Linked DNA regions of Coturnix japonica. The protein of the gene in region 1 purifies or fractionates together with the protein of each later gene. This does not show direct contact. Links are inferred from orthologs where the notes say so. Each region holds a gene or a part of one and is shown on either strand. Other genes may lie near its edges. The genes, in order: HSPA12A, EPB41L3 and AKAP12.

The links.
Region 2: the proteins of HSPA12A (region 1) and EPB41L3 purify together in Homo sapiens (affinity purification with mass spectrometry; 4 studies listed by BioGRID and IntAct, with this or other methods). This does not show direct contact. The link is inferred for Coturnix japonica from reciprocal best matches to the Homo sapiens genes HSPA12A and EPB41L3.
Region 3: the proteins of HSPA12A (region 1) and AKAP12 purify together in Homo sapiens (affinity purification with mass spectrometry; 3 studies listed by BioGRID and IntAct, with this or other methods). This does not show direct contact. The link is inferred for Coturnix japonica from reciprocal best matches to the Homo sapiens genes HSPA12A and AKAP12.

Annotation. Positions count from the first base shown.
Region 1 is NC_029521.1:25,730,032-25,733,679, reverse strand, and holds part of HSPA12A (heat shock 70 kDa protein 12A), read left to right. Parts: intron 1-2,071; coding exon 2,072-2,188; intron 2,189-3,648. UniProt on the Homo sapiens protein: Adapter protein for SORL1, but not SORT1. Delays SORL1 internalization and affects SORL1 subcellular localization.
Region 2 is NC_029517.1:90,377,005-90,380,652, reverse strand, and holds part of EPB41L3 (band 4.1-like protein 3), read right to left. Parts: intron 3,217-3,648; coding exon 2,512-3,216; intron 1,995-2,511; coding exon 1,872-1,994; intron 1,338-1,871; coding exon 960-1,337; intron 178-959; coding exon 46-177; intron 1-45. UniProt on the Homo sapiens protein: Tumor suppressor that inhibits cell proliferation and promotes apoptosis. Modulates the activity of protein arginine N-methyltransferases, including PRMT3 and PRMT5.
Region 3 is NC_029518.1:43,956,758-43,960,990, forward strand, and holds the start of AKAP12 (A-kinase anchor protein 12), read left to right. Parts: upstream 1-1,366; 5' UTR 1,367-1,616; coding exon 1,617-1,697; intron 1,698-4,233. UniProt on the Homo sapiens protein: Anchoring protein that mediates the subcellular compartmentation of protein kinase A (PKA) and protein kinase C (PKC).

The DNA.
Region 1 (3,648 bases):
TGATTTCCTTTTGCACAAGGGAACCTTGGTTCAATAATAGTAATAAGTTCTGAGTATCTTCTTACTGGGATAAAACCTTTCAATTGTTGCGTTGCTTTTTTTTGGTTGTTGTTTTGTTTTTATCATTAAAAATGTTGATTTGAAAAGAAAACATAATAGTGCAGGAGCTGGAGCTCAGTGTTTCGCTCAGTCTGCATTTTTAACTTGCCAAGAATTAAATTTGAGGCTGGATTCTGGTCTTGCCCCCCCACACTTCTGGTGCTGGGACAATTCCGTGTTCTGTATTCTCCAAGTTCTTTTTCGTGTTGATGAGTGAGCAGTGTGAAACACAACTGGTTGGGCACTTCCCAATGATTGGAGTCCCAGTCTGATATTGTTTTCAGTGACTGATTGTAGGGAAGTCGGATGAGCTGGATTTGTTTTGCGACAGGAAGATTATTAAAAGCTGATTTACCGTTTGGTGAGTTGAATCTCATTGTCACTCTCTACAATGATGACTTGCTAGTTAAAATGGTGAAAACAGTATAATTTCACTGTTGCAATGATCTTGGTGTGGCTAAGAGGTTCAGTATATTAGCCTATATTAAGCTACTATTTTGGATCTTGGTAGGGAAATGGGAAAATACATCGTATTTTCCATTTCCTGTATGAAATGTTTCAATACTCAATTCTTGTAATATTATCGTTGGGTCACGAGATTGTATTGGGTATTCTCTTGTGAAATACATGTCTCCAGTAAATAGTTTTTAGATTTAAGGTCTCATGTAAACAACCAAATGTGAATTTTGTTACATTAGTTTCAGATGTGCTACTATGTACTGCCAACACATAGTAGTTTCTGGGCCAAATCAGAATCCTAAACAGTGCTTACATGAAAACAGCCCTGTTGATGTAAAGCTGACCCACTTTTCTGAATAGGATTAATTTATTCTGCCTTCATGGCCTTAGAGGAACCACCTTATCATTACTACTCAAAAAAATTAACTTTTCTAAGACTGATAGATTTTTGCATTTAACATTCAGTCACAGACTTGTACCCATGCATTTACTGCCTGGGGAACTGTTTAGTGAATATGAATCCCCCATAAGTTGCTGTGCTGCCTGTTCTGGGCTGCATCTTTACTTGATGTTAATAAAACATCCCTGTGATTTGTGAGTTCATGCTGTTGCTTAGGACTGTAATCTGTCCATTCCTACTGCCCTGGGCAGTATAAAGGTACTTCTTTTCTACCACAGATTTTTAAACTGCAGTATGGCTGAGCAAACACAACACCTTGGCACAGCACGCTCAGAAACATATTTTACATTCTAAAGGCCTGTTGTTCACTTTTATGAAGCTTTCCCTGTTTGGATGGAGGTTTAGATAGGACATATGGTAATGACATTTTACTTGGAACCTTTCCCAAAATATGTCAGTATATCACCTAATCTATAAATGCAATACAGACTTTTCTCTTTTTAATGGGGAAGGGAAGAACAAGAAAATAACTAGACCACTCCTCAGTGCTCGTGTAAAGCAAAATTTTCAGGGAACATTCAGTTGATGTCTTTATTTTTTTTAAGACTTTAGCTGTAACTTTGCCTTGTTAACCGAGTTGTAAAAGTTTAATTTACATGTGAGTGCTGTATAAAGGAGTCATTGAAAAATCTGGATTGTAAAACTTAATGTTCATCAATACTTCTAATATTTTTCTGTGAATTAATCTAGATGTAAGCATGAATTCTTCAGACTAGCTGTGAATCCCCTCACTATGACTAAGAGCATATGTAAACATTCTCTAATGTTCAGCAGTGCACGTGCTCCTTTAGGAAAAAGTAACTTTTCTATTTCATGTTAAGTAGTAAACTTTTCTATGGGCTTCCTTCAGAAGGTGTCAGCTCTAATCCTAGCTGTTGGCACAGTGAAGCATTCTTGAAAGGTTGGTAATAATTTAAATATTTGGATTTGTAACGTAGGTGTAGCAGGAAAAAGATTGAAAAGAGAGTTTCTGTTACTGGAAACTTCAGAAAATATTTTCTTACCAAGTTGATGCCCATCAGTTTACATTCACCTCTATTTCTCTTTATTTAGGAGCTCAGTGACCAAGCAGGTTCGGACTTTGAAAATACTGAAGTAAGATGGGTTATTACAGTGCCTGCTATTTGGAAGCAGCCTGCAAAGCAGTTTATGAGACAAGCTGCCTACAAGGTAAGGTTACAGGGTGAACTTAAAAATGCCCTTTAAAGCCTCACTTGGTAGGCTATATGTTAAACTATATTTGGGACAAATAGCACTAGTGTAAACGACATTAAATAATAAAGAGTTGGGCTAGAAACATAGAATTTAACTCGACAAATCAGTGGCTTCACATCATGTGTATTCACATTTTAAATGCCTTTTAATGTATTTGCTTTTGTGTACTGGTGTCCCTCACTGCAGGCTAATATTTTAGTCACCTTTTACATGATACTCCTGCTGAATTTATTGTACATGGAAGGGATGCAGTTTTGAGACTGAAGAGAAAGCTGATTTAAAACAGCGGATGCGATTTTGTTTTGTTAATTTCTTAGGTCATCACAGGCTTTTTTCAAATAAGACAAAAAAAGAAGGAGTAGGGAAAGCATAGACCTTCCTCAGTAGGGACTTTTTTTTCCTGTTACCATTTTCCCACCGTAGGAATGAAGAGACTGAGTCCAGATAGTCTGGACATAAAATTAAATTAAAACGTTACTATCACCAGTAGGAGTTTGTCAGCATTTAACTCTTTCCCCTCCCTTCAAAGCCCCCGCAGTCTTGCACATTCCATATTGCATATGCTTTATTTCAAATTCAGTTTGTGTCTTTGATAGACTAGATGTGTGCATTCTTCTTTTCATCAAGATACTCACGTTGCATTTTATGTTATTTATTTTATGCCGCAGACTTGCATAACCCATTGGCAGCAGATACATCATGCGCGGTTTGTGAAATACATAGTAGTTGGTGTGTAATTTGCAGAGTGCTCCTGGAAAGCACCCAGGTTTTCTTTAACTCTGTTTCTAACTACCTCTAATGTTGAGCAACAATTTTTCTTAACAGTCTTTATTGTGGGATTGCTAATGCTAGTGCCAGAAGCAAAACATTCTTAAAGTTCTGATGGAAGGACACGGTTGTAGGTAAATCCGAAACACTAGAGACCCATTCATTATCTCTGTATATTGTTGTCTGCCTGCTGTCTGTGTGCATGTGTGCTCGTGTAACGGGAGCTGTGTAAGGAGCAGGGCAGAGTGAGGTAGATCTCTTGGCATTTCTCATTTGTGGCACAATGGAATGTTGTTGATTAGTGTCTGTGTCTGTGGTTTTGTCTGTGATTGTGTTCTTCTATTGGCAAGCTTGATAAACAGCAAGGACTGACAAGGCTTTTAGCTCAGGGTGTGTGATCAACTGCAGGGGAAAAAAAAAAGCATGTAGGGAAGTAATTGTATGTTTGCTTGACACAGTTGATATTTAAAGGAATGAGGCCGAAGAAAGAAATGCAGAAAACTGAAAGTTCTACTTTCTCATTCAGTCTTCAGATTCCTATTGCAGGATCCAACAAGTGCTTCAAACCAGGGCGTACTGACAGAGCAGAAGTTCCAGCCCTTGATGTTAGCCATCAAAACACACAAGTGTCACAAAAATAAGAACGT
Region 2 (3,648 bases), on another chromosome or scaffold:
TCAAGGCCATGCTAATTAGACATTGGCTTCTGTAGGATTTCTTACCTGTGAAGACTCATATGTAATGGTTTTTGTTTCTGTATGGACTACTGGCACTTCCTTTGTTGAAATTTCAAGGTTTTCCCCCCCAGTAGAAACACTACTGAAACTGATTGTTTCAGTCTTCACAACTGGTGACTGTGTGAACAAAAACAAACAAACAAAAAAAAAGGGATTGGAAAATTTAGTAAAGTTTCTGGATTTTTAATAAAAAAGTGCTCTGCATTTTAAGAAACAAAAGAGAAAAAAAAATCTCTTTGTTGTAATGGTATGTATATAGCACTAGCAGTTCGACACTACTCTGGATTACATGAGAACGAGCTTCAGGAAACATGTAAACATTACACATGTTCTCAGAATGACAAGAGAACAAATCCTATTCAGGCTTGCTTTTCCATTCAGCTTTCAGAAAAAAAAAAAAAAAGAAAAAAAGAGCAAAACAAGGTATCTCTACCCTTCTGCAAAATGTTTCTTGAAATCTTTCTAATGGGGCTAAAACAAGAAGCACAGATTGCTTCAGACAGACTACAATAATGTATGACTGTATCAAGAATGGAAAAAAAAAAAAAAATTTCTTTCTTTGAGGACATGCAAACTTTGCCAATCCTGATGGATTTTCCCAAAGAGAATGCCAGCTGAGTCCTTGTTGCCCACTGCATAAAAAGCCAGCAAATGAGGCATTTCTCTGCAGCATGAAAAGCGCTTTTAGGTAAAATATGCATGGCATTTAGCCAAGGATGGAAACCAGCAACAAGCTTTGCAGGTGCCATGCAAGGAGGAAATAAGAGGAGAAACAAACTGCCTGCTGTAAAAATGCAATCATAGAAGTCTTGTACTCTTTACTTTCCATGAGAGGAATTGACTTAGTCCACTACCACATACATTTACAACTCAGCACAAGAACTGATTTAACGAGTTACCTCAAAATGAGGTTTTCTTTCCAAAGAGTCTGAAACGTGGACTGTTGTACTGTGCTCCTCCGCTTGCTCATGAGAAGTAGCAGCAGCAATGCCTTCCTGTTTGGTTACAGCTTTGTGAGCCTCCCTTTTTTCCTCTTTAGCCCCCTTAGTCACAGCAGTGCCCTCCTTCCCTTTTGCGCTAGCAGATGCTGCCTGAGCCTGGGCATCTGCAAGTCCAGCCACTGTAGCGGGATCCCCACTCGCATGCACATTCATCCCACGTCTCTCCTCGATAACCACAGTCTCCTGTACAACCTTCGTCACTGCGTCCTGGTGTGGCTGAGCTGCTTGCTTCAGTTCACTGGAAGTTATCTCCTGAGATGTTGTCGTGTCTATTCTCTGTTGGGAAAGAAGAAAAAAAAAATCCTCATGTTGAAAGCAGACAATGCTACACAGAGCAGCTCCTCAGCTTAACGTACTGTGAACATAAATAAAAACGGGGTATTACATTTTGCCAATTTATTTCTCTCGCGCTAATGGATTTTCACTCTAAGGACATAATCAGAAAAGTAGAAATGAAAAATAAAACAAGATTATGATTTTAGAAGTGAAGAAAAATGCCAGTGTTTTTATCCTTGGTAGTTTTGTGCGAGTCTTATAAAGGCAAAATACAGCACCCTGTAAAATGACCAAAATAAACTGAAATGAGATTAAAAACAAAAACAAAAACAAAAACCCACAACACTTGTTGTTGTCGTTGTTTTCCCTTTTGGTGAAGTTTCTGTTGTGGTCTGTTGTAACAAAGAACAAGGCACAGCAATGCAATGCGTTAGGCATACAGGCTCTGAATTATGCATAAAAACAGGAAACAAAAGCAAATCAAAAGTCATTATTGTGCAGTTATAACACCGAGGGATGGAATGAAACAGCCACCTGCGCCCAGCTATGGGAAGTAGTAGTAACCCCTCCTATGAACTCAGTCGGCTTCCTGGCGGACTCTATTAAACTGAAGATATCTGAGCCATCCAGGGTTTTTTCACCGGTGGACTGTTTAGTCTAAACAGACAAAGAAATGGAGAGTCATACACAGATGAAAGGCCAACCCACATGCACAGAGAAATTAACTGACAAAACAGGAGGCAGAGACAGAGGAAAGGAAGAGAAGGTTGCAGGGCACAGAGAGGCTGGGAATGGGATAAGGATGGGAAAATAAATTAGAGCAAATTCATACTGGCTGTATTAAGCAATAGTTACAAAGCATAGTTGTTAGCACCGGCGTTTTGCTCGTTCAGGCAAACCTTTTTACCCTTTGGTTAACAAGCAACAGCGGCAACACCACACGTCAGTAACATGGATCTTTAAATGAACCAGAAAAGTTGAAAGCCTTATATAATGCCTGCTTTACACTGTAGTATGGCTTCAAATTATGAGAAAAAAATAAGCTGGGTTGGCTGCTGTCAACATAAAGCCAGGCAGCAGGAGAACTGAAAGGCAGGGTAGTGTGAGGGCATTGCCTAAAAGAAGTCATGCTTTAATCTTTAAACTGTGGCATGAAGTCAAAGCCTCTTGTTACCACTACTTTTGATGCAGACGACTCAGTAACAACATAGTGAGCAGTAGCAATGGTAAATGGTTGTTCTCTGGAGTATCTCCACTCAGACACACTTTTATCTTTCCAGGTAAATGCCCCTGCTTTTGCAGCTTCACCATCAAGGTGTTTTTCTGCTTTGCCAAGCTGCAAGCTTCCCAGTAACTGCAAATCTTGGTCCATCCTTAGTGTCTTTTTCAAGCTCTCCTCTTCGGGACTTTGCAACTGAGATTCCGCTTCCTTTATAGGTGTCAGGGAGTCAGACAGCTTTCTTTTTGTGCTCTGCACATCGGCCTTCTCCTCAGCGACAGGCTCTACGATCCCATACTTGGCCAATACTGGAATGATTTTCAAAGATTCTTGTGCTTCCTTCTCCTTTTTTTGCAAAGCTTCTACAGAAGGCTGTACTGTTTTCTCTCCCTCTTTTGTTTTACTTGTCATGGTAACAATTTTCCCAGACACAGCATCATAGGACTTTCCTAAGGTGAATGTTTTCTGCTTATTCTCATCTTTGGATTGTATTTCACTTTCCAAGTCCTCAAAGCTCAGAACTGTGCTGGATTTTAGTACCTCGGGCGGAATGCCAGCTTTACTGCTCACAGTCACCACTTTGTATGTCACATTTTTTTTCGATTCACCATCAGCTACCTCAGAAGGTACTTTGTCTATAATAACCCAATCCTCAGTGCCCTATATTTGAGATATAAAAGCTAAATTAGAATATCTGAAGGTTTATCTGTGTTTCAGGAGTACTAAAGTATGAAGTCTTTTAAGAAATCAATCCTGTCTCTCTGGAAAGTATATAATAATTTTACCACTGAACTTCTTAGAGTAGTTATCAAACAAATAAACAGCATCACCTCAGGCAGAGTTAGATTTCTTCTAGGTTTCTTCCCATTAGAGGCCCATATAATGTGGACAAATAAATAAATAAATAAATAAATAAATAAATTGCATTTGCCACACTTTTCTGCAGTAATTTGAAGCAGAGTAAAATTATCATCAGAATCATCCTGAGGTTAAAAATCATATATCACCATGGTTCATAATGTTACAGTTGAAAACAAGTTACAGAAATAGGGCAAATAAGCCCAACTGTATCCCAGTTGTAACAGCCACACT
Region 3 (4,233 bases), on another chromosome or scaffold:
TTCCAAGCACCAATGCACTACATGAGCACCAGAAGTGAGAAGGGCTTGGTGTCTCTGGGCTCAGAAGCCAGAAATGTTGGGAATTACTCAGATGGATTCTACCCTTGGCGTGCAGCTGCTCCCAGGGGCCGGCCATGGCTTTGAGATTCACTTCAACTTCCCAGAACCAAGCAACCACACAATCAATTTTCACTCCCTTTTCCTGCTCTCCTTTAAAAGAAATGCACTAGTATTAATTTTCTGAAGATGAGGAAAAAATAAACAAATGAAAGATTACAAAAACTGTTAGAGAGACAGGTAGCCTTAGGACAACACTTTCTTGGTACTATGCATATATATGAGGGTGAGCAAGACTAGGCTGAAGGGAGTGATTTGGTTCTTCCTGTGCCATCCCCAGCAGCAGTTTGGTTCTTGCTGAGGCTCCACAAGGTTCTTGTACTGCTGCAGTGGCTGTGTCATGCAATGACTTGGTGTGGCCTGATTGCTTTACGTAAAAAGCTGACCACGTGCAGAGAGCAGGCAATTAGCAGAGAGGATTGTTAAGAGAATATAAAGATATAATATAGATATATATACACCTGAATGACCCAGTGATTCAATGGATGAGGATTGCTTCACATTTTCTAAAGGAAAATGTCCCCAATCTCGGATCTGAACTATGAACTCAGTGGAGGATGGGGGGATTCACAGGGAGGGGCTCCCTCCGCAACACCGTGGTTGGTTTATCGCAGTGTACGTGTCATTTCCCTGGGGGTCCTTTTGGATGGGCGTGCTGCTCTGTGCATGCTGGTCCCATCACTGTGGCACAGGGAAGTGGGGCTCAGCGTGTGTGTGTGTGTCTTTGGGTCGGGAGGGAAGCTATCACGCTGCCTGCTTTGCTCGCCATGCAGTCTAGCAGGAATTAATCAATGAGAACCTGTGCCGCATGGAAAAAGAAAAAAAAAAAAAAGAAAAAAAAATAGAAAGCCAACAGCGTGGTACCCCGCTAAGGCATAGGTCCCTGCTTGCTCCGCATCAGCCGCAGCCCGGACATGCCCCTGGCAGCCCGTACGGCTGAGGTCGTCAACCCGCGGGCGCTGGTGGCGAAGGGGCCCCGAGCCCACCGCGGGGCAGCCCCAGCCCCGAGCACCCCGAGGGCATTGGCGGGCGCCGACTCGGTCTCGGTGGGCGGAGGGGGAGGTAAAAGAGCTGAGTCAGCGCCGCGAGGCGGCCACGGGCTGGGTCTGGGGTCCGGGCAGCGCTCCCGCCCCGGCGGTGCCCAGGAGAGAAGAGAGAGGCCCCGGGCGGCGGGCAGGGCGCTGCCCCCCTCCCCCTCCTCCTCCTCCTCCGCCGCTCCTTATCAGCCCGGCTCGATGCTGCAAGGCGTGTCTGGGGCTCTGCTCATGTGATGGAGCAAGCGGGAGACGGGCGGGGGGACCAGGGGCGGAGGTGATTTTCCTCCCTCTCGCTTTTTTTTTTTTTTTTCTTTCCCTTTTTCCCTTTCCCTCCCTCCTCTCGCTCCCTAAAGGAGTTCGCGGAGAGCCGCGCTCCCTCATTCCCAGCCGCGCCGCCACCCCCCACCCCTTTTCCCCCGAGCCCCTGCCGTTCCTCTCCGCTCAGCTCTGCGGGGCAGCGCCATGGGCGCCGGCAGCTCCGCCGAGCCGTCCGCCCCGCCGCAGGAGGACGGGGCCGCCGCCGCCCCCTCGGAGCCCGCCAAGGTAAGGCCGGGGCGGTGCGGTGCCGGGGGAGGCGGGCGGCGGCTCCGCAGCGCGGGGAAAGTTTCCTGCGCGCCGGCGGGCACCTGCCGGGGTCGGCGGGATCCTGCGGGCCGGGCGGGCTGCGGTGGGGCCGGGACTGCGCCACGGACAGCGCCGCAGTCATAAAACTCGCGGCGGCGGCGGCGGGGGGCGAGAGCGGCGGGGCCGGGTGGGGGGCGGTGGCGGCGGCGCTTTTGTGTGCGGCTGCGGGGGGAGAGGGCCGCACCCAGCCGGGGCAGTGCTGTGCTGGGAGCCCTCCTGACTGCGGTCCTACGGCCGCTGCTGTGGTACCCAGGGCTCCCCCAGCCTTTTTTCTTACTATTCCATCTCTTTTTTTCTTTCTTTCTTTTTTTCTTTCTTTCTTTTTTTTTTTTTTTCTTCCCATATCTCTCGAGGATGCGTCTGTGAGGCGCGTCGGGGGGGCTGCAGCAGGGACCCTCCCCGCACCACCAAGTTTCCCCTGCTGGGCTCCAGCTTAAGCGTCCCTCCTCTCGCTCCCAGTCCCGCATCGGGCCCGCCGCATCCCCCCCCACCCGAGCGGAGCTGGGCGTGGAGGGGGGCGCGGGGTCGCGGTGCGGGCGGTGGCTGCGGCGCTCCCCGCGGTGGCACAGCGTCGGGGCGAGCGGGGCGGCGGCGGCCCGCAACCAACGGGGAGGAGGGATCGGGGTCCGAGCCTGTGTTATTTTAAATAAAGACGTTGAAGAATTGAAAGAAATTCTTTTAAAACGTCTGGTGTTTAAAAATAGATTATGAATGAACCCATTTATCCCTCTGGAATAGGCGTGTTGAGGGGATTCTGGGACTGAAAGGGAGGTTATGTGCATCTACGTGTTTACATAGCATCGTGTTGGGGTTAGACGTTAGTTGTTAGGGGAGACATAATGCGACGTTATGCCCGGAGTCCGCTGCGCAGCCTGATCTGAGCTTGGGTCCTCGGAGCACTCCAAGTTTCTGTGAGCGGGCGTGTGGGTGTGTTGGAGCTTGAGAACGGGTTATGACTTTGTTTCTTTGACCTTGTGGTTCAGATTTAACTTTCAAGTTGAATTTCCCATAGTTCCTGGCTTCCACTAGACCTCCTTGTGCGTGTTTTGACAGATTTGAAAACCGCATTGAGAATGAACTTTAAATTAACCAAGATTTATTTTATTCTCTTTTTAACCAAATAAGCAGTAGGGATCGGTGTTGGTTAACAAAATATTTAGCAGTTGTGTTGAGCCGCTTTAGAATTCAAATGCTGAAATGTAGACAGCGGTGCATTTGGAGGGTGAGCCTTTGGGTGCAGTGATTGTTTTAAAACAAAGATAACCTGACTTTGAGGAGGGCCGTAATGTTCATAGTTGCATTTACCCAGTCACGGGGACCAAGGCAAGAAAAGGGGGATGCCATCAATGCTGTTCTCCGAGGCAGGCTATGATTGGTTCTAAATACTGTAGTTTATATCATCTGCTCTTTAGGAAGAGCCTTTTCCAACACTTCAGTTTTATCATTCAAGCTGATTAAAGGTGAGGAAGTTCTCTTTGCGTATCGCTGCTGTAAGAAGTTCTGTGACTACGCTTCTCTTAGAACAGCTGTTTTTGTCTTCTCTTACATTGAATCAAAGTTTTAATGAAGTCCTACTTTTTTGTTACTGTTGTTGTTTCATATCTCCCTTATTCTGTTCTTACCACAGCGAGACTGTTTCATGCAGATTCATGGCACAGTTTTTCATAGCTGTTCCTTACAGCCCTCTGGACGTGAAAATCACCAGATCATGCCGTGCCCCTGGAGAAATCTATCAAAGAGCTAATGTGTTTGCAAAGGGGAAAAAAAGAAGCAGTGGTGTCATTTTAAAGGATGGTCTCCATTCTGGTGCTTTTGACATTAAAGCACTCATCCCAGCTCTTTTGAATGGAATATTTGGAAAACTGGCTTTTACATAATCCAATTTGAGCGAGCCTTGGCAAGTGAATTACAGATACATTGTCTGGGCAACTGTTACAATAGGCAGTGTAAAATTTCATGGCAGTTTTGCTTCCTCATCACTTGAAACACCGCGGAATATTTAATCAAGTTTCTTTCATAATAGTCCTATTTTGCACTAGCTGAAAACCTGTTTGCTTTTTCTCTGAGAAAGGCCCAAATTTACAGTCTTTACGTTGCCTTGTTATCCCCATGTGACTCTTTGGCTGAATACCAGGTCTCGAGGTGTCCTGGTTACTGCAAGGGGGAGCACATGGGCCTGTGTTTCACTTCTGCAGCCCAGGAGATGTCAGATGCCGTGTGAAGCATTTGGGCTACCATGGCAGGAAAGAGATTTTGAGAGCCTTTGGGTGCTGGTTTGTAAGCACTGCAGATTAAATTTGGGCTGAAGGAGTTAGGATCCCAGGTGCTCACCCTAACTTTTCACAGATTGCTGCTTATTTGCCCATAAAGCAGCTTCAGAGTTTCCAACCCAGCATTATAGTGGGACTTGAAATTGATGACTGTTTTCTTGTTGTTGTTTTGTAGTAGTTTCTTA